Elephas maximus indicus: one gene and its partners. The protein of the gene in region 1 interacts with the protein of each later gene in a biochemical or structural test. Links are inferred from orthologs where the notes say so. Each region holds a gene or a part of one and is shown in the gene's direction. Other genes may lie near its edges. The genes, in order: MAPK1, MBP, GAB2 and ESR1.

Region 1 (7,516 bases):
AGGTGTTTTTATTTACTTATTTCTCTACCTTTACATAGTTTCAAGGGTCATTGCCAGTTCTTTCTCTCTTTTCATGATTCATGTCTCAGTGACTTATTGTACAATTCTGAGCAATTTTTGCAGAAAAGGGACTTAACTGCATAGTGTATTAGTCAGAACTCTGTGGTTTCAAATGGAAGAAACATCTCAAATTGTCATCAGGAATTTATCTCCATCTCTCAACTCGACTTTTCCTTGTCACTTCTTCATTCTCAGAAGTTGTTTCTCACATCATGGCATGTTTGACCCCATATTCATAACCACTCCCCTAGCACCCAGCAGAAAGGGAGCACCTGTTTCCCAATAAAACCAAACCAGTTGCTATTGAGTCGATTCTAACTCATGGCAACCCCTTGTGCATCACAGTAGAGCTATGCTTCATGAGGTTTTCAATGGCTGATTTTTTGGAAGTAGATCACTAGGCCTTTCCTCTAAGGTGCCACTGGGTGTTATTGGAACCTCCAGCATTTCAGTTAGCAGCCAAGGGACCCTTTCCTATTAGTTTCTGCAAAAAGTCTGGGGTTGAGCGTCATTGACCAGGATCAGATCACACGCCCATCTTTTAAACCAGTGTCTATGACTCTGATTGGGGAGTCATGAGTCACACGCTTACTCTTGGAACTTAGGGGTAGTGTTAGCCTTCCAAACCACATGAGAGTGCCTAAGAGTCAGTTCACCAAAGAAAAATTCGGTTGTTGCAGCCAGGAGGAGGAATTGATGCTGAGCAGGCAAAAATAACAAATGTCCATTGTTTTTTAAGATTCTGCAGATCTGTGAATTGTCACCACTCTAGAGATATAATAAAGAAGACATTCAGATGGCTAGCCATCCATCCAAGCTAGACCTTATACTTAGATGGTGGCTTAGCATGGTCTCACAGTGTTCTAGAGCCTGGATCTCACCTTTGCACTTCAAAAATTTGTTGTTGTTGTCACCGTAGCTAGATCACTGTTCCCTCTGGGCCTGGGTCATGCTAATATAACTCAGTAACTGTATACCTAAACTCCATCTTAGAATGAATAGTAACTGCCACAGACCTGAACAGGGCTGTCTGTCCTCTGGTCAGCACATGCTCCCTGTCAGAAAAGCAGAAGTGAAGCCACTTGTGGGTTGCTTAGTGCCAATGGAACCTGGAGAAAATTAGTGTATCACAGTTGTATCATGCCATGATGGTGTGGTAGTTTAAAACATGTCCATAAATGCTGGAAGAGTACAGAGAGAGCATGCTACAGGGAGAGAGATCTGTATGTGCAAAGACCAAAAGGCAAGAGAGAAGTTAAGACTAAGCTAGCTTGACAGGAGCATCGAGGGCAGAGAGCAGAGAGTAAGAGGAGATTAGGTTGGAAGGGTGGTCAGCAAAGGCCTCACTCTGAGTGTAATGAGGAGCTATCGACTTGCTCTAAGAAGGAGAGTAACTGGTCAAATTTCTTACAGAAAGAGCTTTCTAGATAAAGTGAGGAGAAGCAATTGGAGATGGGCAACCGTGAAAGCTGGGAGAGGAACTGAAAGGCGGTTGCGATAGCCTAGGTGAGAGAGCAGAAGAGAGAGAGTATGAAGCTTTAAACAACATAGAGGCAGTGGGGATGAGGCGGCTACATTTAAAACAGTGCTTCAGAAAGTTTAATAATATGTGAACAAATCACCTGGGAGATCTTAAGATGCAGATCTTGATTCAGTAGGTCTGGGGTGGGACCTAGGATCCTGCATTTCTAACAAGCTCCCAGATAATGCTGATGTTGCTGGTCTGGAGACCACACTTTGAGTAGCAAGGATTTAAGGAACCTTAAGAAATAGAATTTACGGGAGTGTGTTACCAGTGGGATGGAGGCGTGGCGGGGAGCGGGCGGGGGAGTATTCGAAATAAGGTAGAATGAGTTGTTGAAGATAACGCCCAAACTTCCAGCTTGAGTGTCTGGATGGAAGGTGATGCTATTTGTCCACAGGCACAAGCTGAGGAACAGGTTTGGGTGGGGTTGATAATAATGACTGATAACCTTTATTGGGTACTTACCATGTGCCAGGCTGTTTACATACGTTATTTATGCTGCACAACAAATTTGTGACGTACAGGTACCTCTTAAGTGAGAAAACTAAGGCCAAGGTCCTACAGATCCTAAGTGGAGCAGTCAAGATTCAAACCCTCCGGCAGTGTGAGTACACAACTTGTGCAGTTACCCAATGGCATTTTGGATATGTGGAGCTGAAGCACCTTTCCCACGTGAGGCGTCACATCAAACTGTCCAGTGGGCAGGTGGACAGGATGACCTGAAGTTCAAAACAGATATTTTGAGCAACGGGGATATTCTGGGAGGAATTAAGGCAAAGGAGTGAAAGAAATCATCCAGGGAGGGTATGTAGGGTCACAATTTACCCCTTTGGGGGTGCTATCAATCTTATTCCTTTTTTTTTTTTTTTTTTGGCGTTAATATTGCAGAGGAGGAATCTGAAGAGAAAGTTTTTAGCTTTTTTATAACTTTGTTTTTTGATTGGATGCTGTGTTTGTTCTTTACACTTGAAATTTAAGAATTTTTCCAAATTGTCTTAGAGTTCGTTTCTGCTTATTAGTTTTTCTGAATCCCAGTGAACTCACTTCCTTTCCGCCTCAGATCTTTTCAGTTATATTAATTTATATTACCTTTTTTTTTTATTAATGCCTTTAATTGATTTGTTTGGTCTTCTTTTGGGGGATGCCTATAGTTTGAATCTCCATGATGTTCTCCACCTCCATTATTTTCCCTCTTAAAGAATTTGATTCCTGTGTTCTGTATTTTTGAAAATTTTCTTGAGCTTATCTTCTATCTTGCTGATTTGATTTTGTGCACTGTCAAGTCTATTTCTCATTGCTTTGGCTGTGTTTTTTTACTTTGGTTATTGTGGTTTGGATTTCATGGTACTCTCCATTTATCTTGGCCTGTTCTTCAAAAGATGGAATGTCCCCTTCTAATGAAGAAAAAAAACTAAGTGTTTCCTAAAATTGGGTTCTGTTTCATGGACTAAATATATTTCAAAACAGAAATTTTTGGCTTTAGCACTTTATTCCTTTTCTTGCCTGCGACAATCTTTTCTCACAGAGTTAAAAAAAATTGTTTATTCAAATTTTGAGATTGACCAGTTGATCTTTGCTGATGTGTGGAAGTCCACAGTTGGTGGCTCTTGGATTGCATGTTGGCTTGGGAAGTGATTCAGAAGCAATGGATTATCTTCTCACTGTCTTAGCTATTCTTGGCTTCTACCTGCTTCAGGATTCCAATTTTTATTTTCCAATCGCTGGTGTTTGTGACTATCTTTGAGCCTCAGTGTGTCCGTCTCATTTTCTCTAAGTCTTCATGTTTTGTTTTTAGCATTTCCATCGTTGGATGTATATTTCTGGGTGTCCGTCTACCAATCCGGGTCTCAGTCTCTAGAGGCCCAGTGTCTTTCTCTGATGTCTCAACCCCACTACTCCCTAAGCCCTTACTCTGTTTTATATTTCTCCATAGTACTTATCCCAATGTGCATATTACATATATTTGCATGCCTCTTCAGTCTAGAATATAACCTCTATGAGGGTATACTTTTTTTTTTTCAGTGCCGGATCCCCAGGAGCATGGTAGGTGTTCAACAAATATTTATTGAAGGAACCTCTGTCTGACTCGCAGATCCTCTCAGAGTCTGTCGTTTTGGTCTCACATTTGTTTTACACTTTCTCAGTATGTAAATGTCTCTTTCCATCTCGGTCAGGCCTTTCAGTTTCTGTCCTTGCGTCGAAGCCTCTAAATTTGTGTGTGGGCTACAGATTCGCGGCCTGTCCCAAGCCCGGCGATGTGTGGCGCGTCGTCGGGCCTCATGCGCTGTCCCGGGTTGTTCTCTGGTTCTGTCAGGAACCCCCGCTGCAGGGCTGTCTCTGCTCCTTAGCGTCTCTCCTCACGCTCTGTTTTGTAGGACCTCTCCCGACGCCTCCTTCTCCTTCGGCGTCTCAAGGGCCGCCTCCGGCGCGCAACTCCCCCACAGCCACACGTGACCGCGCCGGCGGCGCCTCCACAGCCGCCGCAGTGCTCCGCCCTAGCCGGTCGCTTTCGCCAGCCACGCACGCCCCGCCCCCTGGCCGCGGGGAGCCAATCCGCGCGCACGCTGCTTGGCCTCTCCCCGGCGCCCTCCTCGGCGCGCGCCCCGCCCTCCGCCCGCTCGCCTGCCCGCCCGTCAGTCAGGCAGTCGGTCTGAGCGGCCGTCGGCTCTCCAGTTCGCCTGAGCGGCGGCCTCCATCGTCCTTTACGGTCAGCGGCGGCAGCTGCACCGGCTGCAGGCGGCCCCTCCGGGAGGCGCGGCGGGAGCCGAGCGGCAGCCGCGGAGCGTCGAGTCCAGCGCGGCGGAGGCGGCGGCGGCGGCGGCGGCGGCCCGGCAGCCAACATGGCGGCGGCGGCGGCGGGCGCGGGCCCGGAGATGGTCCGCGGGCAGGTGTTCGACGTGGGGCCGCGCTACACCAACCTCTCGTACATCGGCGAGGGCGCCTACGGCATGGTGTGGTGAGTGTCCGCGCCTCCCGCGGGCCCGGCCGCCCCACCGGCGCGGACACAGCGGCGGCCTCGCCCGCCCTCGGCCTCTCGTGCCGTGGCGACCCCGACCCCGGGCTTGGTCGCGCGCCGGCCGGGGCCTGGGCCCGGGCGGGGCCTGGGCGTTGCTCACGGCGCTTATCTGGCCGGCCTTTGCTCGCCGAGAGGAGACGGGGGGCGGAGGCCTGGAGCCCTGGCCCCCCGGACCCGGCGCAGCAGCGGCTTTAAAGCCCGGTCCCCAGGGAAGGGACGAAAACGTCGCCCCTCCCTCCGTCCCTCCCCAGTTTGCTCGCCTCGTAGCCTTCTTTTTGACGTTCGATTTTAAAACCGGGAATTCCTTCCGATGCTTGTCAGTGGAGGTGGCGGTGGCCTTGAAAGCGGTTCGCCTCGGCTTGTGTGCAGAAAACCAACATAATTTATGATTTTTCTTCTCTTGCTTCAGTTTTCCACGAACGGCCTTCATGAAATATTTTCAGTGGTGCTTAATGGTGCTCTCCTGCGCAGGCTTTCTAAAAAGCATTAGTGACACCAGTGTGGGTTATGGAATATTTCAGTTCCTAAGTTTTAAAATGGATTTTGATATCGTACTGTTAGCGTTTCACGAAGGCCAAGTCAGCCTCGCCCTCTTGATCTATTAAAGAACCTTTTGGAGTTGGGCCTAATTTGACGTTTTTTTTTTCATTACCCCAAGTGCGCTCTCTTAACTGCACGAATGCATCGAGCTGTTTTAGCAAAATGACTGGGCTTTTCTCGTCAATATTTTAGCGGTCAGTATAAATATATGCAGCCTTAACGGGGTTCTCGTAGAACCACGTATAGTCAGTCTCCTTCATCTTGATCCAGATCCCTCAGAAACGTTTGTGGAATGAGAGGCTGTGTTGTTTTTATTAGCCCGAACTAGCTGTAGTGTTTTGTGCTGAGGAAGACTTGTAGAAGTGTAGCCTTCCTTACACCTAAATCTTCTTGTCTGTGTTTATGTTTGATGAAGAAAGCAAACTGGTATTTATTGAACACTTTGTGGCAGGTATTGTGCTAATTACTTTATCTCATTTTATTTGAACAGCCACCTTGAGAGGGAGGAAAAGGCAGCAGTATCCGTCTTTCATAGGAGCGCCGGTGGTGTGGTGATTAAGCACTTCGCTGCTAACAGAAAGGTTGGTGGTTCGAACCCACCAAACCCTCCAGCCACTCCACTGGAGAAATATCTGGCAGTCTGCTTCTGTAAAAATTACAGCCTTGGGAACCCTATGGGGCAGTTCTGCACTGCCTTACAGGGTCACTGTGAGTCGAAATCGACATCACACAGTGGGTTTGGGGTTTTTTTTTTGCATCCCTCTTTCAGGTGAGAATGCATTTCTAGGTAAAGTCAGTTACGAAGGTCATACAAGTAAGGTGTCAGACTTCAGATTCAGTCTGAGATCCAATTTCAAATGCTGCTGCTCTTTCCATTGCACCCTGCTTCCTTAAATAGTATTATTAATAATTTCAGAATTCTAGCATGTTTTACTGTTACCAGCAAGTCTATTTCTGAAATGTATTCAAATTTGAATGATTATAATTTTAGAAATGACATAGGGGCCATGTTTTATGAAGTTACTTAGCTAGGTAGAAAGACTAGTTAAAATTATTTCTTAAGAGACTTTATTGAATCTTGAATATCTTCATTCTCTGCAGGAGCAAAATGCTTCACAGTATATAACTGCGAAAGTTAACATGAATTCATGGGGTTAGGAGCCAAAAAAGAAATTAAATTAGGTCAGGCCTAAAAGAAATAAAAAAAAAAATAGGGCCCTATAAAGTACTGGAGTCTGCCCACAGCATTACGTCTGTGTCTGCATTTCGCTGCCATTAACACCTGCTGGTAAGTGTGCCAGTGAATGTGTCTCATGAGAGGCTCAGAATTGCCGACCACATCCTTTGGCCCTTCTTTTTAAAATTCACTCATCTAAAATGTGGACTGGAAAATCTTTACATTTCTGTTGAAAGTTATTTTTCTACCTGATAAAATTTTTATCAGTTTGAATACGATTTAACTATTTCTATCGCTGCTGTTGTCTTGTTTGACCTTCCGAGTTGTCATTCAAGTGAAATATTAAGTCCTCTTACTGTGACTTTCCTTTCCTAAGTAAAACTCAAATATAAATAGAATTTGAATCCTGGGTCTTAGCTTTTTACCTTCAGGTTGATAAAATACACTAGTGAGAATTTGATTTTCTACACAGCATATTATTAGCATATAATAAATGTTGATTAACTGTTGGGTTTGTGGAGGGTTTCTTGGTTGAAATGTTAATATTTGAATAGTGATCTTTTAAAAAACCTAATGTTCCAGAAGGATTTTTGGGTATTCTTTAGCAGTTTTTGTCATTTCCTGAGTCAGGTCATTAGGCATTGTGCCTGTTCTGTGCAGAGCCCTTTCCTAATAATTGTGTGGAGGATATAAAGATGGAAGAGTGGGATTTGAGTTGGGCCTTTAAGAGTGGGTGTGATTTTGATAGGCAGATAATAGGAGCAAGTGACAGCTTGAGCTGCAGAATCTAATCCTGGAAAAGTACTACTTAAGTGGCAAGCTGTGTAGGACTCTGAAGGCCAACTGAGTTTGACTGTAATTTTGTGTAACTGGGAAGCATCACCATTTTTAAAAGAGACAGTCACATAGTTAATTTTGATTTTGGAGGGGATGATAGAAAAAAACTGGAGTGGGAGAATCAATTAGGCTGTTAGAACCATTTGTTGTTATTAATTGCCAGTTGAGTCGATTTCTCCTCATGGCGACCTTGCGTATAACAGAACAAAACATTTGCTGGATCCTTGCCATCTTCATAATTGTTGGTATGTTTGAGTCTGTTGTGGCTGTTATGTCAGTCTATCTCCTTGAGGGTTTCCCTTGTTTTCATTGGCCTTTTACTTTACCAAATATGATGTCCTTTTCTAGTGATTGGCCTTTC
Region 2 (7,349 bases), on another chromosome or scaffold:
TGTTCAGAGGTTACATAGGTAAAAGCCAGACAGAAATTCGCTTCAGTAAAAACTACTGTGTTCCATTTGTCTTGCACAATTTAGCCAAAATCTTCAAATACAAGTCATTTTCTTATAATTGCAGACAGTGAGTGTATTGTGAAAAAACTTCAAAGCCTCCCTGTACCCTGAGGGCTACTGGTATTTGTAAAATATCAATGAAACAGCTAACCCCTCTCACTTGGTCTTTGAAGAAATGAAGCCAGAAGACATCTGTTTAAACAGGTGGAGGGGGAGAGACTAAGAGGAGCAGCTTAGTGCCCTCATTTTTTAATTTGTGCTCTTACTGCCAAGACCACAGAGCCAGACAGAGGGGGATTACCAGGAAAGCTGCTGAAACTGAAACACCCAGATCCCTTCCAAGATCTTGTACCTAATTTTGAATTCACATTTTTGGTATTTAGCTTCTTAAAGAGGCCCCCAGATTTTATAATGGTCCTGCCCTGCAAAACTTGGATACCCCTGTGCCTACCTGCATTAAAGAAGGTTAAAGGGGGCAAGTGAACTTTAAGACATTGACCACCACTTTCAAACCTGAAAGTGGGGGAAGGCAGAGACTTCTCTGCTTGGTGATTCTGGTCAGCTTTAAATGTGCTGTCATTTGCCCCTTCTTTAAAAAATAGTCATTTCTGTAATCATTTGGCTACTTCCTTTTTTTTTTTTTAGCTCCCTTTGATAGTAAAACTCCCTGAAAGGACTATGTCATGCCTCATCACCAAGTTTCCCCTCCCATCCTATCTGAACCCATTCCAGCCAGGCTATGTCCATTCCCTAAGGGAGCTCGCCCAGTCTCCAGACCAAAAACACCACCAATATAACTAACCAAAACCCAAAACCAGTTGCTATCCAGTTGATTCCAACTCAGGGAGACCCCACGTATATCAGAATAGAATTGTGCTCCATAGGGTTTTCAATGGCTCATTTTTCCAAAGTAAATAGCCAGGCCTTTCTTCCGAGGCACCTCTGGGTGGATTTGAACCACCAACTTTTTGGTTAGTATTCGAGAGTTTAACCATTTGCACCACCCAGAGACTAATATGAGTGACCAAAAAAAAAATCTAAACCCATTGCCGTTGAGTCGATTCCAACACATAGTGACCCTATAAGACAGAGTAGAACTGCCCCATAGGGTTTCCAGGGAGCAGCTGGTAGATTCGAACTGCTGACATTTTGGTTAGCAGCCATAGTTCTTAACCACTGCACTACCAGGGCTCCAATATAACTGACACTCCCCAAATTATCTGTCCCACCCAGCCCTCTCCTCTGAATTAAACATATAAGTTTCCAACCACCACTCGGATACCCAATAGGCATACCCAACTTCTCATGCCCTAAAAAGAATTCCTGGCCTTCTCCCCAAAGTGATGGGAGAAAAATGTTTGAGAAGTTTCACTTTTTTACCAACTGGCCAGAGTCCTACATAATCTCCTTCTCTTTCCCCTGCTCCCCCCCACCGCCCCTGCCACCACTGGTATTTCACCAGAGTGAAGTGATGAGTGGCTTTTGGTTGGGTAAATGTGGTGGGCGGAGGGGGGCTGTGGTCTGCGGGCCCCTGACGTCTTCTTGTTCACATGATTTTTTTATATTGCACTTCCTGGGCGTGCTTTCGGCTAATTTTCTTGCACTGAGTGGCCACGCCAGGGTCCACCCAGTGTTGACCAGAATTCATAGTGAAATAGCCACCTGTCAGTTGAGCACAGGGAAATTATCTGCCTTGTGAGTTATCACCAGCAAATCGTACATTACAGACTAGGGAAGAAAGTGAGGCTCAACCCTCTTCTGAACGAAATATAATTACACAGATAAATCTGTCAATGAGAAAGAGAAAGAACTCAAAATATATGCACTCTGAAGTCTAATGGAAATTATTTAATTTACTTAGTCCCTGTAGTTTGGATGCTTTGGTGTTTATTTCAACTCCACAAAAATCCACCAAGTACCCATCATGCATAAAACATGGTGCCATTTGCTGCGACATCAAACTCTGTAAAGGGCACGGTTCCCGCCCTCCGGTTGTCCCAGGGGCAGTGGGAGATGGCTGTACTGCAAGACGATTGTCTTGGAAGCATCTCAGACACAAGGGTTTGGGCGGCTAGCTTTTACTTTTCAATAGAGTTCTTTCCGTTTTACTGAGCACGAGGAACAGGTCAAGCTTCCTCAAGCAAAATCTCAAACGAGTCATTTTCCTAAAGGAACACGGCCATCTTTACACAGAAGTCTGACTCCGCAGCCAAGCGCCTGACTCCTGCCTAGCCCATGTCCCCACCTTGTGTCCTTTCCATAACAGGGAGGAAAAGCATCTAAGACTGGACCTTTTAAAGGCAGACCAAGAGTCTTACTACTTTGTATTGTGTCCTTACCTTTTCTTTGTAGCACCATGAATTAAAAAAAAAAAAAAAAATCTAGCCATCTGCCTGCATGGTTGTTATATACCAACTAAGTGTGGATGGAAACCCTGGTGGTGGCGTAGTGCTTAGCAACTGTGGCTGCTCCTTGGAACCCTGTGGTGCAGTTCTACTCTTTCCTATAGGGTCTCCATGAGTCGGAATCAACTCCAGAGCAATGGGTTTGGGTTTTTTTGGTAAGTGTGGAAGGTGCAATTTTAGAAATACTTAGAGTCCTAACTGAAGGTTGGCAAGCCTGGATTGTGTAAAAATGACTGTTGGCACATGCAATGTGTTTATAAACCACTGAAAAAATTAGCAGAAATAGCATAAAGCAGAAGGACAAATGTTACTTTTTCCTGTGGTCAACAGGGATCCCCCAAGCCCAGCGTTAAACCACCCCTGTGGGTGTGAATGTCAGTCCTCCCTGGCGTCCCAGTCACCCCAAGATGAATCAAGGAGACTGTTGGAGGGAGGAAGGAGATGACTGTGACGCCACAACCGCATGCAACATGGGACCCAGCACTCCACCATGCCCTGGCCTGGGGGTGGGAGGTAAGAGTTGGGAGGCTGGGAACTTCCGGAGTAAGATTTCACTGTCCTGTGCACCCTCAGCTCTTGTCTGCCCCCCATCCCACCGCTTAAAGTGAGCGTGAAGTCAGGTAGCAGGAGACCAACCAGATGAAAAATGGGTATAACCAACATTCCTTTTCCACTGCCTTTTCTTACCGCCAACCCACTCCCAGGCCTTCGTGTCCTCTCCTCTAGCCAATCTTCTCTCAGGAAAGGATTAGATCAAGTATCTTTATACTGTTGTGGAAATACCGCACAACGCGTTACTATTTTGGAGGTATCTAAACTAGTTTTTCTTTTTTTTTTTATCTACTCTGCTTGTCCGGAAACCCTGGTGGTGTAGTGGTTAAGTGCTACGGCTGCTAACCAAAGGGTCGGCAGTTTCAATCCACCCGGCGCTCCTTGGAAACTCTACGGGGCAGTTCTACTCTATCCTATAGGGTCACTGTGAGTCGGAATTGGCTCGACGGCACTGGGTTTCGTTTTTGTGTTTTATCTCCTTGTCTTAGAATTATCATCAGCACATTAACACTGTTGGTGGGTCCTCAGGGTCCTGGGGGAGGTTCGGTTTGAGTGGGGAGTCCCTGAACCACGGCGAGCGTCTCTGCCTCCGTCGCCTGTGCGTGCAGTGCAGTGCAGCATGGAGGAGATGCCATCTCAGGTCCCTCCAGCCGAGGGGGGCGGCGTGGGACTGGTTTCCAGGCTCAGCCAGAAGGAAAGGTTCAAGTGGTTGCAGTTAGGTCCTGATCTGCTGTGGCCAAAGCCTAGAGTCCCACCCTCCTGGGGCGGGTCCCCCGTGGGTTCTCGTGTCACTGGCGCTCCGAGCGGGCGAGCGCGGCGCAGCGCCGCCACGGGTCCTCGGGCTCGCACAGGGGCGCACTGGGGCGCGGGGAGGTGTCTAGGTGGGGCGCCCGGCGGCAGGCGGTGTTTACCTGGCAGCAGGAAGCAGGGAAGCGGGGGCGGAGAGCGGCGCGGCCTCAGAGTAGGGCCTGTCAGTCTGCGAGCCTCCCGCAGCGAGGACAAGCCTGCGGTCCCGGCGGCCCGTGGCCCGACCCCGGAGAGCGGCGGCCGCCCTGGGACCCGCTGCCCGCGCGGCGCCCAGACCTGGTGCGGGACCGGAGGGGCAGGAGCGCAGCCCGGACCAGCGAGCACAGCCCGGTGGGTGACCGTGAGGACAGAGGCGGCCGGACCCCTTTGTCCCTTTTTTCCCTCGGAGCGGGTGGGGGCCGCGGGGTCCCGGCGGGGTCCGGGCGCGCGGCGCTCACCTGTGCAGGGCCGGGCGAGGGGGCGGCCCTGCGGTGCCGAGCTCAAGCCCCCAACCCCCTGGCCTGGCCAGAGGCGAACCCCCGGGCTGCCATGGGGTCGCGGGCCCGCAGAGGCCTGAGAGGGGAGAGGGCGCTGCGGCTGGGCAGAGTTCAGGGGTGAGAGGGACAAAGGTCACAGGGGCCGCTCTCGGCCAGGGGGAGGGCAGACGGGGGATCCGTACGACATTTAGTGCCTTCAAATTACACACCTGGAGCCGAGCGGACACCCCCTGCCCCCTCCCTGCGCGCGCGCGCGCACACACACACACACACACACACAGGAGGAAGTGTAGTTTCCCTTTGAGGAAGGAGGGCGGCGACACACGTCCCAGTACCCCGCTTCCGCCTTCCTCTGGTCAGTCACCCAGGGCTCCTGGGGCTGGCCCAAGCACCCTGCAGCCCACTTGCAGCCCACCTGCAATCCCATGCGCACGATCTGTCTACCAGTCCCACCGGCAGCCCACCTGCAGGAGTTGCTCTGTTCTTCCTGAGGCAGGCTCGGGGCACCTTCGACGGAGGGCGCCCTCCTGTGCAGGGCTGCCCGTCCTGACCCTGATGCTTTCGGTTTCGGCCACCCCTCGGCTAACCTGTTTGTATGGTGGTCACTCTGCTGACCTGAGGTGGCTCTTGGCCCTCAGGGGTTCTCTTGGTGGCAGCACCTGGTTTCTTAGGGTCCACTTCAGCCTCCATTTCGGAAGGTGGGGTGGGGATGGAGCTCAGTAAGACCCTGGCAGGAATGAGGCCCCTTCCCAGTTCTCTGTTTCCCAGTTGTGACAGTGTGAGAATCAACAACATGTGCTGCTTCTGGGAGCTGGTAAAGCACGTGCAGAAGCAAGTGTGCTGGCAGGCTGCCAGCATCCCTCAGTGGGGCCTGGCTGCTATTGTTGGGTGCTGTCCAGTCGATTCTGACTCATACCAAAAAACCATTGCTATCGAGTTGCTGCTGGCGGGGTTCAAACCGCCGACCTTTCAGTTAGCAGCCCAGTGCTTAACCAGTGAGCCACCAGGAGACCTGGCTACACGTGTGGTCATCGAGTGGATTTTGACTCACAGCAATCCTATAGAGTAGAACTGCCCCAGAGGGTTTCCAAGGCTGTAATCTTTACGAAAGTGGATCACCAGGTCTTTCTCTCATGGATTCGAACGACCAACCTTTGGATTAGCAGCCAAGCACTTAACTATTGCACCACCGGGGGCCTGGCTAGAGACAGGATTTTCCAGGTGATGGGAAAGTCTGGTGGCATAGTGGGTAGGTGCTACCACTCCTAACCAAGAGGTTAGCAGTTCAAATCCTCCAGGCTGTCTTTGGAAACTGTGGGGCAATACTACCCTGTCCTATAGGGTTGCTATGAGTTAGAATCGACTCGACAGCAGTGGGTTTGGTTTTGTGGGGGAAGTCTGGTTTGAGACCCTTGTTTTATAGCATTTTACAGATGACCTCCTACAAGTCAGGGGCCTTCCCTGAACTGGGGCTCCCCCCTCCAGGCCATCACCGAGGGACATTTGGGGTCATGGGACACCCTGGAGAGAGCAGGTCTGGAAAAACAGGACCTGACTTGTCAGGGTACCTATACCATAGTTGTGTGTGTCCCTGGGAGCCAGGGGAAAGTATACTTCAGCAGGTTTGCTTCCGAGTGGGATGAACACAAATCAAGTTAAAAGGCAGGAGAATCGAGTTAAAGCTACTGCAAAACATTGGTTTACAGTCATTCTCAAGAATTAGCTCTTCTGAAATGATTCTTCTTCTTAAGAAGACAAAAGCTCTTTGGTTCAAATCCACCTTGAAAATCTTTCTGAAGCACCGTACTTCTGCCCAGTGACAAGACCAGTTACTCAGTGATTTGGTATTTAATCGCTCCATGGTGACTTTGAACTTCAGTTCTTGCTTCTTGGTGGGTGGTGAGTGTGAGGATGTGTGTTAATCAAAAGCATCTACTGAAAACCGAAAATTGTTGAAATCAACCATTCTCGTTACTTTCGTACTTCTGTTTGAACTTTTAAATGTTAATTGAAGGTTAATTTGATTTTTTCAGTTTTTCTCTAAATTCTTTAAAAATTTAACACATTTAAGATAAGCAGCTGCCTCCATGCCTTCTCTGTTGTTGATGTTAGCTGCTATCGACTTGGCCCTTGACTCGTGGCGACCCCATGTGACAGAGTAGAACTTCCCCGTAGGGTTTTCTTGGCTGTAATCTTTATGGAGCAGATTGCCAGGTCTTTCTCCTGCAGAGCAGCTGGTGGGTTCAAAGTGCCAGCGTTTTGGTTAGCAGCCGAGCACTTAACCATTGTGCCATCAGAGCTCCTTGATACTATCCTATTGCCCGGATCAGTCACAGGAGTCAGCCCAAGGCACGCAATTAGCAAGTGGCAGAGCCAAATTCCTTGCAGGTTTTCACTGCTGCCCTGCACTGCTCTGCGGACTAAGGCCTGCAGAGCACCCTCCGTTTTTTCTGGTTTTAAAGACTACTGCTAATGAAGGATTGCTCCCGCAGACCATGTTTCTTTGTCAGAATGATTAGATCGTGAGGATCTGCTGTATGGCTTGGTTAGGTGTCCTCCCCTCGTAGCCTCAGTTGTCAATAAAGAATAAAAGAGTATATTTTAATTACTCTTACTATAATTTTTAATAAGTAGCCATGAAGCATAAGACATGTCCAGTATAGCCACTTGAGGGAGGTTCAGTCATGCCTGAGCCCCTTGGCCTGGGAGCTGTGTTTGATGGAACATACAACATGCCTGGGAGAACCCCAGGCTGCTCAGCAGATGGTGGAGAAGAAGCCAGGATATCTACAAGTAGATTTAAACCTGTATCAGTCAACATTTAACCAGAGAAATGGAGCCAGGAGGCGATGTATACTAAGAGATTTATATTCACCAAATTGGCTTACGTGATGGCACAGGCTAGCCAGGCAAGTCCAAAATCCGCAGGGCAGGCCGGCAGGAAGGGTAAGCTGGAAAACCTGTGGTCCACATTCAAAATTTCCCCCAGTGTTTTGTAAAGGAGGGGGCCTAAAAAGACCAGAGAAACGCTCAAAGAGCTGGATTGACA
Region 3 (8,060 bases), on another chromosome or scaffold:
TTATTTCCAAAAATAACCAGTTGGAAGCCCTGTTTTAAGTACCTTCAAAGATACTACTCTCTGTTATGCGCGGACTAGAGAGATATGGATGCTTCAGGGGTCCCAGCCCCTACCCGTTATCCTTCAAAGGTTGTTTGTTCATTTCTCACGACAAACATTTAATGAGGATTTATTGTGTGTGCCTTGTGCCAAGCTGGGAGAAAGAAACAGCCCTGCCCTCAAGGAACTCACAGTTCCTTGACATATTTGCAGTACACTGTGATAACCTGATTTATTAGGTCCAGTGTGAATACAAAGAAAAGAATGAATATGCTGGGGAGTAGGGATGGTGAGAGGAGCCCTGGTGGCAAAGTGGTTAAGAGCTCGAGTGGTTAAGAGCTCAGCTGCTAACTGAAAGGTCAGGTAGCTGGAACCCACCAGCCACTCCTCAAGGGGAAAAAGACTCAGCACACAGCCTTGCATACCCCATGTGCAGTTCTACTCTGTGCTGTAGGGTCGCTATGAGTCAGAGCCAACTCCACAGTCATGGGTTAGTTAGGGATGGTGTGTTTTAGGGACAGGGGACTTAATGTATTCAAGATGCAATCTAAGGTAGGAGTTGTCTCTGGGTGCAACTGATTTGCACCAGGATCTGTGCAACACAAACCTTCACCAGTGGCAGTGGAAATGTCCCGGGAGCCTAGCTGCCACAGAGCAATTAGTACAGACTCTGATTCTTTACAAGGGAGAAACTTGGAAACTGGGCTTGCTCAAACTTTTCTCTTAGAGTTTATTTCCAAAATATCTCCCACTGGGTGTAGAATCAAGTAACTTCAGACTGTGAGCAGCCACAGACAGGGAGGAAACCCAAGTAGGTTCAAATACACCCCAAGCTTACCACCAGATAGATCTCAGCCCCAACCAGATGCCAAGAGTTGACCTAAGTCAGAGGGTAATTTGATGGAGGGAACCAAGTGGGCCCAAAGCCAAGTGGGGTTAAAAAGATACATATTGCAACAAGACTGCGAGACAAGTGTCCTGCAAGTCCTCTGTTGAGGTGGCTCAGCTGGTCACACTGATCTTGCAAGCAGCACTCAGCTCTGAAATTAACCTGTCTTTTTTTTTTACTAAATCGAAGGGGAGAAAAGGCAGAAGGGCTAGGACACAGCTATCCATCCCCACCCCCTGTCCTATCCCTGACGTCAGGCTTGGCGTGGGTGGTATTAATCACCCCAGCCTGGTGTGCAGTTGAGGACAGCTCTCCTCCCAGCCCTTCCAACCCGGCTCTGGGAGCGTTCCACCAGCCATGCACCTGCCGCTGGCCACAAACCCTCAACTCCCAGACAGGCACGGATGCAGGCTGTCGCTGACAACACTCAAAGCCACAGTGCACCCTTTAAAACCCAGGCTGTGGTGGGAGGAGGGGCGGGAAGCAACAAAACGTGGTACTTACGCTTTCCTCCCAGGTGTGAATTTCTCTAACCTCTGCAATGTCCCTCCCCACGACCCTGCCCACAATAGGATGGTCATTTCCTGGAGATTTAATGAGAATATAAAATTAATGGCCCAAAGAGCTCCTTGGAGCCGGTCATTAATTCCCCCAGGAAACACCCCAAGGTCTGTAATCGAAATTGCCTAAATTATAGGCCAGCGATGCATATCCACGCAGGGCAGGGGGCTAGGTGGGGGGCAGGCAGATATCGTCCCATGTGGTTCCGGTAGGTGGCGCCTGCCTTCATGTAAATAAATCACTCAAATAATTTGTTTTCCATTTCTCCGCAGCAAAAACCAGACAGCATTAAAAAAAAAAAAAAAAGCAGGGGGTGGAGAGGACTTAGTAAAGGCCCAGACAGGAACGTTCTGTCCGAGGGCTGTTTCCAGGCCTGGCACGCATCTCAGGCTCCGAAGACTGAGCCATACCGGAGTGCAGCCAGGGAACCTCAGCTGCAGTCGGGTCTCCTGTGTGCAGACCGTGCTGGGGTTCTGTGCTAGTCACTGGCAGTCAATGAAGAGAGATGTGGGTGGGAGTGGGGAGCGAGAGAGCACACAGAAGAGCCTCTTTCTCCGACCTTTGGGGAAGGAGGGAGGTGTTACAAAGAAAACTTCCTGAAGCCTACACTCTGTGACTGCTGTGTTTTAAGGCCTCTTCTGTCATTGGCTCTGAAACACCCAACTTTTCTATTTGCACATAGAATTGTAAATAACAATATGGGGCCTTTTGGTAAACAAAAGACTCTAACGAGTTTCTGGCAAAATGCTACCTAACCTCAGCTAACCATTGCTGTACAGATGCCCAGTCTGTATCTTGAATCATGTAACTATCAAAGGATATATAATAGAAGATTAGTGTTCTAGGGAAAGATAAGGCATCTGTATGCCTGACTTGCATCACAAATCTCAGCTGCAGCCAAACCATGCAGTTTTCTCAGACTCTTTGCAATCCCTGAGACGTGGCATCATAACTCAGATGTGAATGAAGTCAGAAAGATTGTTTTATTTCAGTTGGGAGTCACTGCCTACTGATTGATTTGGCAGACTTTGAGTATTTTTATATTTACATCTTACAGGATTTCAGTGTACTTTTAAACCCAGAGGTTAAAATGGCCATAAGTCTCATGGTGGCCCTCATGTGGCTGAAGGATCTCTGAACCGAAAGGCCAAGGGAGCTCTGGTTTCATCTATAGCATGAATGTCCTGGCTTTAAATTCTGTCCAGCAGCATACTGGGCAGCGAAGAAGTCCATGAAATGTTGGGTCCCGGAGAACAGATCTTTAAATCTCCCAAGGTGCCTAGAAGGGCTAAGCACATTGTGCAGGGAATAAGTTCTGACACACTGATTGAAGTGGGTGAACATCCAACCCAGCAAAGATTTGTGAACCCAGATGGATATTCAACTGCTTGAAATAAGTAGATTAACTGCATGAAGACAGCAAAGTGAACAAAATAACCCTAGCCACAGGTTGCACAGGGCAATGTGAAATGCTGCTTCTTTAACTCACCTGTCCATAGCACAGTTCCCCATTGATAAAATGGGTTACTATTCACTTCTCAGAGCCGTGGTGGTGCATGGTTAAGAACTTGGCTGCTAACCAAAAGGTTGGCAACTGGAATCCACCAGCTGCTCCTTGGAAACTTTATCAGGCAGTTCTGTTTTGTCCTATAGGGTAGATATAGGATCACTATGTGTCGGAATTGACTTGACAGCAACAGGTTTGGGATTTTTGTTTTGTTTTTGTATTCATTTCTCAGAGCCTCTGGGTGGTGCAAACAGTTAAAACAATGAGCGGTAACCCAGTGGTTCCAGGTCTGAGGTTCAAATCCACCCAGAGGTACCAAAAAGAGACAGGCCTGGTGATTTACTTCCAAAAATCAGCCATTAAAACCCTACTGAGTACGGTTCTACCCTGACACGCAGGGAGGTTGCCATGAGTCAGAGTCCACTGGGCAACTGGCTTGGTATCCACTTCTCAGAGAACTTAGGGTTGGAGCTACGTCTTAATGCTGCTTGTAAAGGTACCTTGCAAATTGAAGAGTTCCTACCTAAGGTATTTTTTTCCCTCCAGCCTCCCCCGCGAAGGGCTGGTGTTGTCAAGTATGTGTTCCGCGTACTTTATCTCAGTTAAACCTCACTACGATTCTGCAAGAGAAGTGCCATTATACAATTTACATATGAGCCCCCTCTCACCCTTCCAAAGGTCTCATAGTGCATTTGAATGAGTTAGAACTCTGGAGAATTTTGACCCTAATTTTTTATACTTTCCTCTGTGACACCATGCTTTCCAATTCACCTTGGAATGTTGTTGGTAATAGGTGCCGTCAGTGGCTCCTGACTCATAGGGACCCCATGCACAACACAATGAGACTACATTGCTCTGTCCTTCCCCATTTTCACAGTCCCTGCTATGTTTGAGCCCATTGTTGCAGCCACTGTGTCAATCTTCTTGAGGGTCTTCCTCTTTTTCTCTAACCTTCTACCAAGCATGATGCATTTTTGTTTCCTTGATTCTGCAAATCATACAAGTTTTCTTCTACTGAATTCTGTTCTTCCAGAGGCAGTGTAGGAGCCAGCTGGACTTTGTTTCCTGACAGTAAGAGGCTCCCAAGCTGATACGCAGACATCAAAGCCCTCTTCCCACTTGAAAGCAGATGAGCAGGATTCCGCCTTCCCTCTCACAGCCCTGGAATTAGGAATCTGGCTCTGCCAGGTACCAGCTCTGGGACCTTAGGCTGTCTGTAAAATGGGAATAATCTTCCCCGCCCAACTTTTAGTTTGCTAAGACAATCATGTGAACAGTGAATGTAAAAGCGCCCAGAACACAGAAGATCTGCTTCCTTCTTTCCTTCTCCCGCCAAGGGGGTGCGAGAGTTAATGAAACTCTTGATGGGAAAAAGCGGCAGACTAATTCCAGCCGGAACCTGACCCGCTGAAACCTGAAGCTCTGGGAAAGGATAGGTAACGCTAACAGGACTCGGGTCCCAGCCAGGTCGACCCTCTGTGAAAAATCGATCCTCAGTCGAAGTCTCGCAGCCCCCTACCACTCACCCTCCCCCCAGGGGCGCGGCCACCTCCCCCAGCCCTCCCGGGCTTGCTGCTTGAAGCTTCAGGGAAAAAAAGCAAGACCTCGGGGGCGCGGCCGGCGACAGCTTGCGGCGTCCGCAGCGACCTCGGGCCTCCCGGGCGGCCAGGCAGTGTTTGCGTCTTTGAAGGCGGCCCGCCGGGGGGCGCGGCGGGCTGTGGGCGTGGCGAGCGCGCGCCGCCGCTTCCTGCTGGGGCGCCCCCTCCGCGGCCGGGCCCGAGTGCGCTGGGCGCGGGCGCGCGAGCCAGAGCGGGCGCGCGCGAGCGAGGCAGCCGGGCTCGCGCCGCGCCGCCTCGTCCTCGCCCCGCGGCCGCCGGCGGCCCCGGCCCGTCCCCTCCCCCGCGAGCTGCGCACCGCCGGCCGGCCGACCCAGCGACCCGCGCCCGCGCCCTCGTCCCCCGACCCGGCCGCGGGCTCCAGTCGGCCGGCAGCATGAGCGGCGGCGGCGACGTGGTGTGCACTGGCTGGCTGAGGAAATCGCCCCCCGAGAAGAAGTTGAGGCGCTATGTGAGTGCGGACGGCGAGCGGGCGCGGCCGCCCAGGGCGCGGGCTGGGGGCGCCCCACCGCCCTTGAAGGGGCTGGGGGCTGGCCGAGGGGCCGCGCCGACGAGGGGCGGGGCGCGCCTTTGGGGTGGAGAAGCGGCTGGTGCGCCCCGCGCCCGGGGGATGTGTGGGGCACCTGCACACCTGTCACAGGTGCGCCTCCGAGGGGCGGGGCGGGCGGGGCAGCAGGTTGAGGCTGCGGCTCCTCCGCTTGGCGGGCGCGTCGGCGGCACCTCCCCAGCCAGCCTGCCTGTAAACTAAATACAGTATTGAAGTTTGTATTGATTGTTTTTGGAGACCGAGAGAGTTGATTCCCTGGGCTGGGGGAGCATAGTAACCCTGAGTGGGTTTTGCATGTGGGGTTGGAGGAGTGGGCGGAAGAGGGGGGCGCAAGCTGTGGGGCCGCGTGGTCCAGCCCCCACAAAGGACGAGGCGCCTGACACCCTCTCCCTCTTCCCTTTCTCTGCCCGCCCTCCCGGGTAGCCGCCTGCTTCCTTCCAGTCCACAGCCTCTGTCTGCATCATGGGCAGCGTCAGCGGCATGTGCAGCCCTTGTATTAAGTGACTCATTTGTTTGTCCCCCCTTCTTTCTCTTTATTCTGCATGTCTCTCACATACACCCCCCCCCCATGGTGACATTGCAGTTTGGTCTCCTCTAACTGGCCCAGGTTTTGTGTTGTGCAGCCCTTGGTGTCTGGGGTCGGAAGAGATAAGATTCTCAGTTGCCAGGTGGTGCTAACCGACATTGTTTACTGAAATTGCTGGGACAGCCGCTCCCCTCTAGGTGAGGAACTAGCAACATCAAGGAGGAGGTAGTACAGTCTGGTGCTGAGCGGTGAGGAGTTCTGGCTTTTTTTTTTTTTTCTCCCACCAGAGGATGTATGTTCCTGTAGAGGTCAAAGTACAAGACGATGCCAGTCACAGAGATTTGCCCGAAATCGGCCCTGGGGTAATCTCAGGAGGAAGGATCCCGGGAGGAAGGTCGCTAAAGGGTCTCAAGGTCTCCCATCTTGTCCCCCTTCACTTCTTATGAAATGCCCTTGCTAGACTGATTCCTGGTGCTTGACTCTCTGGGATCACTCCCACAGCCTGGAAGTGAGCTGCTGCCTTCCAGCTGCAGTGCATCAAGGGAGCTCTGAATAGACCCTGCCCTCTGTCAGCTGCACCAGTGGCTGTCCATGGGGGGAGAGGCAGAAGCTTACCAGAGTTTCCTGTCTTGGCTCCCCAGATCAGAACCAAGGGACTTTTGGCCTCTGGACTGAGGAAGTGACATTCTGTTTTTCAAAGGAAGTGTTGTTGTTGGGGAGTGCAAGAGAGTGTCTGTGTGTGTGTGTGAGAAAATGAAATCGGGCTCTTAGATCATTTGCTGGGGAAAATCTAAGGACTCGCACATGACTTTTCAAAGCGGACGTAGATTTAAAAATACAGTAGGAATTAGGGGATGAAGTGTTTGACTCAGTTTTAAAGTGCATTTTCCAGGGTACCCGTGTAGCCTCAGCATTATAATTGCTAAGAAGGAAATTTTTTCCACATCAGGGTTTTATCAGTTCATCAGGGAAGTTGAGTTTTATATTAGGGTTAAGGAGGAATTTGTAATTAACATTTTTATAAATATCGAAAAAACGAAATCTCTGGCTCCGAAAAGCTTCCAAAAATTATCAATTGAAGTGATTTCATACCAGCTAGTAGAGTGTCAATAAAAATGTGACCCTTAATTGTCAAAGTAGAATACTACCCTAAAGAACCTTGAAATTTTCTTTTTGAAACATTTTGCAAACAATTTAACACTGTATCTACATTGGACTGGTGACTACTTCAGCCCTATTACCCAGACTCTCTATGACCCATTTCTTGGGTATTTTTGTTGCTGGGCAAAAATTTAGTTCAAAATAATCAAGTTTGGAGGCTTTTGGGTCAGGACCTTTTTCACATGTTGGAACTAGTTGACACCTTGAAGTCATAATAACGATCTTAGTCTATTTCTAATCTTCCTTGCAGCTCTAGCCCGCAAGGCAACTGACCAAACCAGCAACAGCTTTTCTTAGACTAGGGTATCATGTGCTCCATTGGTATGGCTGGAAGCCTTTCCTGCTGTGAAAGTTCAGTTCCCTGGTTGAGTCTGTGTCGTTCTGTATAACCCTAAACTCCTGAGGAATAGTCTACCTTTACATGTACTTTTCCTTGGTGTTGAGAATTTCTGCACCCTGTTGTAAGTTAGAACTCTGCTGGTTCTCTGTTCATTGTAGGTCCAAGTTGGTTAGAAGCAAAGTTGGAATGAGTTATTTCTCAGCTTCATTGCCAAACCAAAACAAGCAAAGAAAGAAACCAAACCCATTGTCATCCAAGATAGCAGTTTGGAAAATAGATTACAACTATTTAAAACTTTTTAAAAACCTACCTTTTTGGGTTAATTTCAGATGGTGGTAAGTGTAGGAGGAAAAAACAACTTGGGAGAAGCTTTGGCAAGTGTTATTGGAGATTAGGGATTGTCCCCATTGACATTTTCTGTTTTATTAATCATGTGAAAGTATTAAAGGTCTATCCAGTATTTTCTGTGTGCCCAGAGGAATTGCAAATAATGACCTCTGGAAAATGGTGAGTATTGCCCTCTGGGGTGTCATGACGTTGTTGCAGTGAGAGGTTGACAGGAGCAACCGAACACCCCTCCTTCAGACCTTGTAAACTTAAAGGCCCTTCTCTAGTATGTATGTATCTGTATCTGTGTGTATAAAACCAGCTGCTGTCGCGTCGACCCCGACTTACTGCAGCTGCGTGTGTGTCAGAGTAGAACTGTGCTCCATAGCATTTTCAGTGGCTGATGTTTTGGAAGTTGATACCCAGGCATTTCTTCTAAGGTGACTCAGAGTGGACTCAAACTTGCAGTCTTTCAGTTAGCAGCCCAGTGCGTTAACTCTTTGCACTGCCAGTTTGAACTCCATATTTGTGTGTGTACTTACATATA
Region 4 (7,365 bases), on another chromosome or scaffold:
AGAAATTTTCAATAATAATTTCCTCACATGGGACTTTTGTGGCTTGATTTATATCTTTTCCTATGTAAAGAAGAGATGTGATTTATGAAGGCAGGTTTTTCAAGTCTTTCTATAGATGAGGTTTAAGTTTTAACTGTATTATCTGTCACTACTACCTGAAGGTAGGTTGCACTTTTTTTCTTTGAGGAATAAAACCTTTATCCCTATAAATGTCAACTCGAGCTTCAATATTGAATAAAGAACAGTAATGAGTCACTGGGTATTGGTCATATTATGGCTCTATTTTCAAATATCCTGGACCTCTACGTTGACAACAGGACTGCTGGGCTGTGTGCCTTCTGCTACAAAAATTAGCTCCTGGGATCTGGGAGGAGTGTTTAGTTTACCTAAATTCTTCCATAGCCTTTATTGCCAGGTACCCAAGAGAGTCCTCGTCCCTTGCAATCAGAAGAGCGTAACTAAAACATGAACATAACTAAAACACCGGGACATTTGAAGGAGTCCCTGGTGCAAATGGTTAATGCCCTTGGTGCTAACCAAAAGTTTAGTGGTTGGAGTCCACCCGGAGGTGCCTTGAAAGAAAGGCCTGGCAATCTGCTCCTGAAAAATCAGCCATTGGAAATCCTGTGAAGCACTGTTCTGCTCTGACACACACGCTGTTGCCACGAGCTGGAATGTACTCCAGGGCCCCTGGTTTGGTTTGGCCTGAAAGCAGTGGACTCGCTGTAACCCTGCCAGTGGCCACTGCAGCTCTAGCCAGACCCTCCCAAGCAGCCACGGCTCCAGGGCTTGCTATCTGCTAACCTTTGCTTACTGGTTTTCTCTGCAACAATCCCCTCACCCTGTAAATTCACTTGATAATAGCCTAGGCTTACTGTGGCCTCCACTCTACTCCAAGACATCTTTTCTGTTTGTGTCTCTGCAGCTCAAGAGCTCAGTCTAAGTTTCCAAAGTCATACTCTGAGATCTCGAATGTGATTGGCCAAGTTCATCTTTTCATGTTAGGTCATGTCCTAGGTCACTGGCCAGCCTATAGAAGGCTGCTCTTTGGCCAGGTCCCCATCGCTGCCCAATTAGCTGTGATCAGAAGTGGGGGGTGGGAGTCACACGGATTTGACTAGGTTGTCTTGGCAACTGCAGCTGACAACCGGCCAATCTCTCTTAGAAAGGTGAGCGAGTGGGCGGTCAGGTACTGATTGCTATCTCTAGGCAAGCAGAGTTTCCATTTTGGTTGCTCTTCATGAGGAAAACTAGAAGCTCAGAGCTGCTTTTATGGTGTGATTGAATTGAGATAGTGCTTTGAGTAGTACCCAATGGAAACAGCTTTGCTAATAAGGACAAGTGAAGAATTTGGGCAGTTAACTATGTAACTAAGTCCCAAACTCCGCTATCATCTTGGTTGTCTGACAAAAACACACTCTCCAATTCAAAAATGTGATTTTCTTTTCTTTTACTTTAGCCTGAATCACCCAAAACACAACAGTTTTTTGCTTCAATGACCCAGATTGCGTCAATTTTCTGCTTTATTTGCTTGCGGAAACCAGGATGTTAGTGGTCTTCTAGAATGGGAAAACTTATTTTTTAAAAAAAGTTTGGAAGCTGGAAAAAATTCTAGAATTTATAGATTTCATTACTCTAAGTTAATTGACACACAATATGACACCATAAAGGCATGTGTGTGATAACCTCGCCCTCTTTTTTTAAAAAAAATAAAGGTGAAGTAGATAGCATGATTCGATAAAATGTCAGGCTTTGTTTTTCAGTGTGTATGAGGAAACCAAGCACAAGTGCATGGCGCTTCTCTTTGAATTATATTTATGAGATTGAGTTTGCCTTGTGTTTATTCCCATTATATTATATTATGCTGCCTTATTTTAAATTGTTCGTTTCTTATTGTTTTGTCATTATTCAGTTTAATAGCGATAAATGCAATTTAAATAGAAACTTTACCTCAAAGGGAATTTTTCTTTTTTCTATAAGAAGGCACAGAATATTTTAAAACAAGGTTAATCCAAGCACATATTTTTATTTTTAGTGATTCAATTAGAACGGAAAACTTTAAAATTATTCATAATAACCTTTCTATATCTATCTGATAAAACCATTCTTACCCATTCACAGATAAACCTCCAAACTTTTTTTGCCCCATGTCATCTACAAGGCAAGAGTGTTCCCATAGCATATTCCTATTTGCAATTCCCTGTGTGCTGGCTCTGATTCCACCAAACCAAAGAAAACCCAGTTGCCATACAGTTCAACTCATGGCTACCCCATGTGTGTCAGAGTAGAACTGTGCTCTCTGGGGTTTTCAATGGCTGTGACCGTTTGTAAGTGGGTTGCCAGGCCTTTCTTCTGAGGCACATCTGGGTGGATTAGAACTGCCAGTCTTCATGGTTAATAGCCAAGTGCTTAACCATTTGCTCTACCCAGGAACTCCTCTGATTCCATAGTGGAGTGTTAAAAGCATGGGTCCTTGAATTGAACCACCTGAGGTTGAATCCTGGCTCCAGCTGTGAAATCTTCATACAGGTACTTAATCTCAGCATCCCAAGGTTTTCTCATCTGTAAAATGGGTTTGTGATAGTACCTACCTCATTGGGTTGTTGTGAAAGTGCTTAGACTAGTAGTTGGCCCCTAGTATGCACCCAATTTGCTATTATTTTTATTCTCTCTCTGGAGAATGCACATATTGGAATGCAAATGAATGATAGTAATGTTCTTTTAAGGGTAATCACTCTAATTCATAATTTATATTATGCTTAAATTTACATTTTCCAGTAAAGAGGAAATAATCTTAACCTTCAGTTCAGAATCCAGTGGATGTCCTATTTTGAGAACTGTTGCTCTCAGTAATTTTCTTCTCTGTACTGATGTGTACCACTGATTTTTAACAAATAGCTAGATGCTGTTTGCAAAGTGTAGTTCACCCATTCTGGCAAATATAATAATTGAGGGATTTAATTAAAAGATATTTTGCTTTCAAAAAGTTTAAACTGTTCAAAACATTTATTAAATTATTTACCTTTCATCAGAAATCATAATAAAAGTGATACAATCTAATAAGACCTCCAGAATGTATTAGTCAATGTGACTCTTTGTTAGTGAATCGTTGAACTTTTGTGGTTGTTAAATCAAAATGAAATATTTTACATATTAGCTAAAATGTCTCACGCTCTATGTTCCAGGGAAATTATCTTAGGAAAATCTGTATATTCAAGCTGTTCTATCTATGGTCTACCTCACAAGTATAGAGAAGATTACTTGAAGACAGTTAAGAACATGTATTTCAGAATGTTTTCAAGGGGACACATCTCGTGCCAATCACCTGGGATGGGTTATTTGTATGTGTGTGTATGCGCGTGAATGAATTGCATAAGATAGTTCCTAACAGTGCGGGTGTAGCTAAACCAAATAAGGTCTGTTTGACTCCTTTCTCAGTTATCCTATTTATCCATTTATTAAACACATACACACAGAGAGGGAGAGAGAGACAATGATTTGAGTTAGGCAAGGTTTTATTTTTTGAACAGTTTCACTGAGATAGAATTGACGTATAATCAAGTGATTATGATAGTTTTGGTTTTCTTTTTCCCAAGCCAGTTTTGAGTCTCACCTCTTACCCAGCAGATGGCCATTTGCATTTAGAGATTTTAGGAAGCTCAATAGCAAGGGACTCCTGCCCCTCCTTTCTCCCCCCCGGCATTCTCATTTCCAGAAAACCAGCCTTTCTCCAGGCTTGTAAAGTAGAAAAAGTGAATCAACTTTTAAAAATCCTTTAAACTACATGCTGCATAGACCACGAGCTGACTATAAATGATTAAAATCCCAATATTATTTTTTAAAATTTCAATATGATTTTTTTAAAGCTCATTTTCGATTTCAGGATTTTATCTCAGTGTAAAAAGACAGAGAGAGGGAAAAAAAATAACAAGCAAACCCTTAATCTGTTGCCGGAAATGCCGGACAGTTTAGGACATAAGATCATGTGACAGCAGGAGGGGCTCAAAAGCCAGGCAGAAGGTAAACCTGTGCAGGTTATTAAAGTTAAGAACCGAATTAATCAGTGACGAGAAGTGCAGAGCCGGCTGGTGAGGCAATGGCTGCATGAGAACGTGGAAACCACCCCCCCCCCAAAAAAAACTCGCCCAAGACGCGTCCTCACCCCCGGTTTTCGCTGTAATTAATTTTGAATTAACACACTTTATGTGCTGAATACCTGCTTTATTTACTTATTTTTTTCCAACTACACACGCTTGTCTTGGCTCCAAGGTTTATCAGAAACAAAGAAGAAATAGGCTGGATTACATAAAAATATGTTTCAGGCAGATTAACACATTACTTATTCCTCATTAAAGATCTGTCTTAACCAAAGAGCTAAGAAGTTTGAATCAGGCCTGGCTTGGAGAAAGGCGGCCACCCCCCTCTTCTCTTTCTCCAAGGCGATTTTCCAATCCTAGTCAAATGGTGGTGCTAGTTCTTTATTTTTGAGTGGCTGCATTTCCTAATTTCATGGTCGTAGCAGCCTGTGTACAGGCTCAGAACGGCTCTCCCCCCAACTGAAAATGCAGACTCCAGGCTCAGAAGCTCCTCACCGGGCTTGAAAGGGTCCCACTCCTTTCTCCTGCCCTTTCTATAGCATCAGAGGACACTGTCTGAGTGACTTTCTTCTCTACAAGTAGGTATTCTGTTTTCTTCTCAATTTCTTTCCTTTTTTTTTTTTTTTGCTATGTCTGCTACTGTTTACAAGCGTGATGTAACTTTAGAGCCTACCTCTCACATTAAAAGATGTTCGTTTTTCTCTGAATGCTCCGGGGGTATTTTGCAAAGTCGCTGGCAAGCCTTGCTACCATGGAAAAATGTGAAATGGAAGCTCGGTACAGTGGAAATCCACTTTTGGAGTAACATTCGGCTGAGTCAGAGAGCTGCAGTTACCGTTTTCCGAGCGCAGCGCTGACAGGCTGCCCGCCCGCCCCAGATAACGAATATTTATTGGATCCTGCTCTAGTGATGAGGTTCTGGATCTGGGAAGCGTGTCGGAAACTTACAAGTTCTTGATTTGTCTGCTCACAGGCTAGCAGGAGCATACGACCTGTTTTCTTAATCTTGGGTACTGTAACTCATGGGAGTGTGAACCAAGCAGGCTGAATAAGCCGTTATTTGCTTCCTGAAAGCAGTGGAGTTTTCTGACAAGCTTCACAATCTTGCAACACAAGGTGACACCCTGTCTTTAAAGCGCCCTATGGTTTGAGGCCAGTCCTTTTGAGTCCTGCAACCTCAGCCTTCTCTGACGTGACAGACCATCGGTCACCTTTTGCAGGATGGTGTGTACTGGAGCGTCTCCGCATGAGCAGGAGTTCCTTGCGCCGCGATGTGGCAGGCACAAAAGCCAGGACAGACTACTTTCGTTTTGGCTAGAGGGATACGACACATTTCAGGAAATGTGCGTTAAGTTCTAAGCTTCATGCTTTGTCTAGAAGGTGACAAGTTTTTGTTCTCGGACAAGCCCATAGAAGCGAACTTTTTTTTTTTTTTTTTTTTTGCACTAACTGTATGGTTTGGGTTTTATCAGAACTTAGAATCATGGCACAGATTCCCGTACAAAGGTGCCAGATTTTTAACAGCTTTATGGGCCGGATCTAATAGACGGGCACAGTGACTCCCAGCATGTAGTGGCTGGGAAATTCCTCTGGTTTTGAACTTGATATAGATGTCTTTATATTTCCATGTTGTCAGTGAACTTGTGAATTAGAGGCCTTCGAACTGAATCGTAAAATGCACAGAGAAATGAAAGAAGTGGAGTTGGTTGAGAACTTCCCAGATCTTCTACTCTATAAAATTTCTTTCTGTTTCTCCAAAGCCAATGTTTGCTCCGATTTTGCGAATATTCCTTGAAGACCGTCCACTAGGCCTTGAAATGCCTGGATCTAATATGGTAGAAGTTGTTAGATTTTCAAAGAAATTAGCAGTAACAAATAATTTAGGTATCGGAAGCATCTCATGTAAGGAAAAAAAAGCTACATTTTGAATACAAATACAAAAGTCATATTTATTAGCAAGATATTTTTCTTAGACAGTTGGAAATATTTGTTTTATTTCATCACTCTTGGAAAGTCATGGAAAGCTCTCATGTCTTAAAGTTGCAGCAAGAACAAAGTCAAACAACCATCTTTTATTTCAAATAGCTATCTTTTACTTTGCTAGAAAGCTTAGACTTCTGCTCAGACCTTCCACGGTGAATAACCCTTTGCTGAGGAGTCAGACATTAAATAGTTCCATTCAAATTCACAGGGGACAACTAGGGCTTTGGAATCCAACAGGGCTCAATCCAAACCAGAACTCCCCACCGCTTTCTAGCTGTGTGAGTCAGGACAAATTATTTCACCTCTGGCCTCAAATTCCTCATCTACAAAGTAAGGATAGTAAGTGTAGCCGCCAGATGGAATTGTATGGAATAAATGAGATCAAGCCACTCATTAAACCACTCTTGCAATCTTCTTCAAGGGCTAGAAACTCAAATGAGGATGCCATTTTTATTCCAGCCCTACTACGGTGCCTGATACAGTATTTAATACATGTTGGCTGATGAATGAATGAAACTCATGGTCAGCACTGTAGCTGCTAGGAGCTTTTATCCATCTGACTATAACTGGTAACTAGACCTGGGGAAAAAAAAAAAAAAAAAGGGTTGGAAATCCACCCAGCTGAGTATGCCACTGGCTGAAATGTTGTTGCTTTTGAAATGGGCATAAAGTGTTGGAAGAGAGAGTACAGAAACTTCCAGCATCCTTCCCTCCATGTTTCTTCTCCTTCGTGACTGTGAGGATAGCCACATTCTTATGAGGAGAGCATGTCAAAAAACGTAGAAAAGGTGTGTCACCTTCATTTATACATCAAAAGAAGCATTTTGCTTCTCTGTTAGGTAATGCTTTCCCCCAGGCATGCAGAGTTGTATGTGAACTTTTAATTCAGTGTGATGCCTAAGACCTGAGACAGTCTCTTTTCCACTAGCGGTAACATAGATTTAGTGCCAATCAGGGAGTAGTAATAGCAATATTAATACTGAACATTTAGGGAGCTCTTACTTTGTCCAGTGCTTTTTTATAGGTAATTATCACATTTCACCCTCACAACCACCCCAGGGAGTCAACATTATTGTTCCAGTTTTACAAATTAGGAAACTAAGGCTTTGGGAAGTAAGTAACGCATCTGATGCCATACAGTGTTATAAGACTGGAAGCTGAATTTCTGTAATTCCAAAGCCCACGTTCTTAGCCACAGACACTATTATTTTTTTTAAGTATTAATTTGTAAAGTTTTTGATAAATAAAATCCTTGTCTTAGAGAAGTAAGCTGAGCATCCAAGGA

What was found.
Region 2: of the proteins of MAPK1 (region 1) and MBP, one has a biochemical effect on the other in vitro, tested with the Homo sapiens proteins (16 studies listed by BioGRID and IntAct). The link is inferred for Elephas maximus indicus from reciprocal best matches to the Homo sapiens genes MAPK1 and MBP.
Region 3: of the proteins of MAPK1 (region 1) and GAB2, one has a biochemical effect on the other in vitro, tested with the Homo sapiens proteins (2 studies listed by BioGRID). The link is inferred for Elephas maximus indicus from reciprocal best matches to the Homo sapiens genes MAPK1 and GAB2.
Region 4: of the proteins of MAPK1 (region 1) and ESR1, one has a biochemical effect on the other in vitro, tested with the Homo sapiens proteins (3 studies listed by BioGRID, with this or other methods). The link is inferred for Elephas maximus indicus from reciprocal best matches to the Homo sapiens genes MAPK1 and ESR1.

The regions. Positions count from the first base shown.
Region 1 is NC_064840.1:20,789,023-20,796,538, forward strand, and holds the start of MAPK1 (mitogen-activated protein kinase 1), read left to right. Parts: upstream 1-4,192; 5' UTR 4,193-4,425; coding exon 4,426-4,541; intron 4,542-7,516. UniProt on the Homo sapiens protein: Serine/threonine kinase which acts as an essential component of the MAP kinase signal transduction pathway. MAPK1/ERK2 and MAPK3/ERK1 are the 2 MAPKs which play an important role in the MAPK/ERK cascade.
Region 2 is NC_064829.1:84,280,939-84,288,287, reverse strand, and holds the start of MBP (myelin basic protein), read left to right. Parts: upstream 1-4,066; 5' UTR 4,067-4,154; intron 4,155-4,764; exon of another isoform or gene 4,765-5,108; intron 5,109-7,349. UniProt on the Homo sapiens protein: The classic group of MBP isoforms (isoform 4-isoform 14) are with PLP the most abundant protein components of the myelin membrane in the CNS. They have a role in both its formation and stabilization.
Region 3 is NC_064825.1:43,710,746-43,718,805, forward strand, and holds the start of GAB2 (GRB2-associated-binding protein 2), read left to right. Parts: upstream 1-4,878; 5' UTR 4,879-4,988; coding exon 4,989-5,063; intron 5,064-8,060. UniProt on the Homo sapiens protein: Adapter protein which acts downstream of several membrane receptors including cytokine, antigen, hormone, cell matrix and growth factor receptors to regulate multiple signaling pathways.
Region 4 is NC_064819.1:223,110,125-223,117,489, forward strand, and holds the start of ESR1 (estrogen receptor), read left to right. Parts: upstream 1-4,159; 5' UTR 4,160-4,675; intron 4,676-7,365.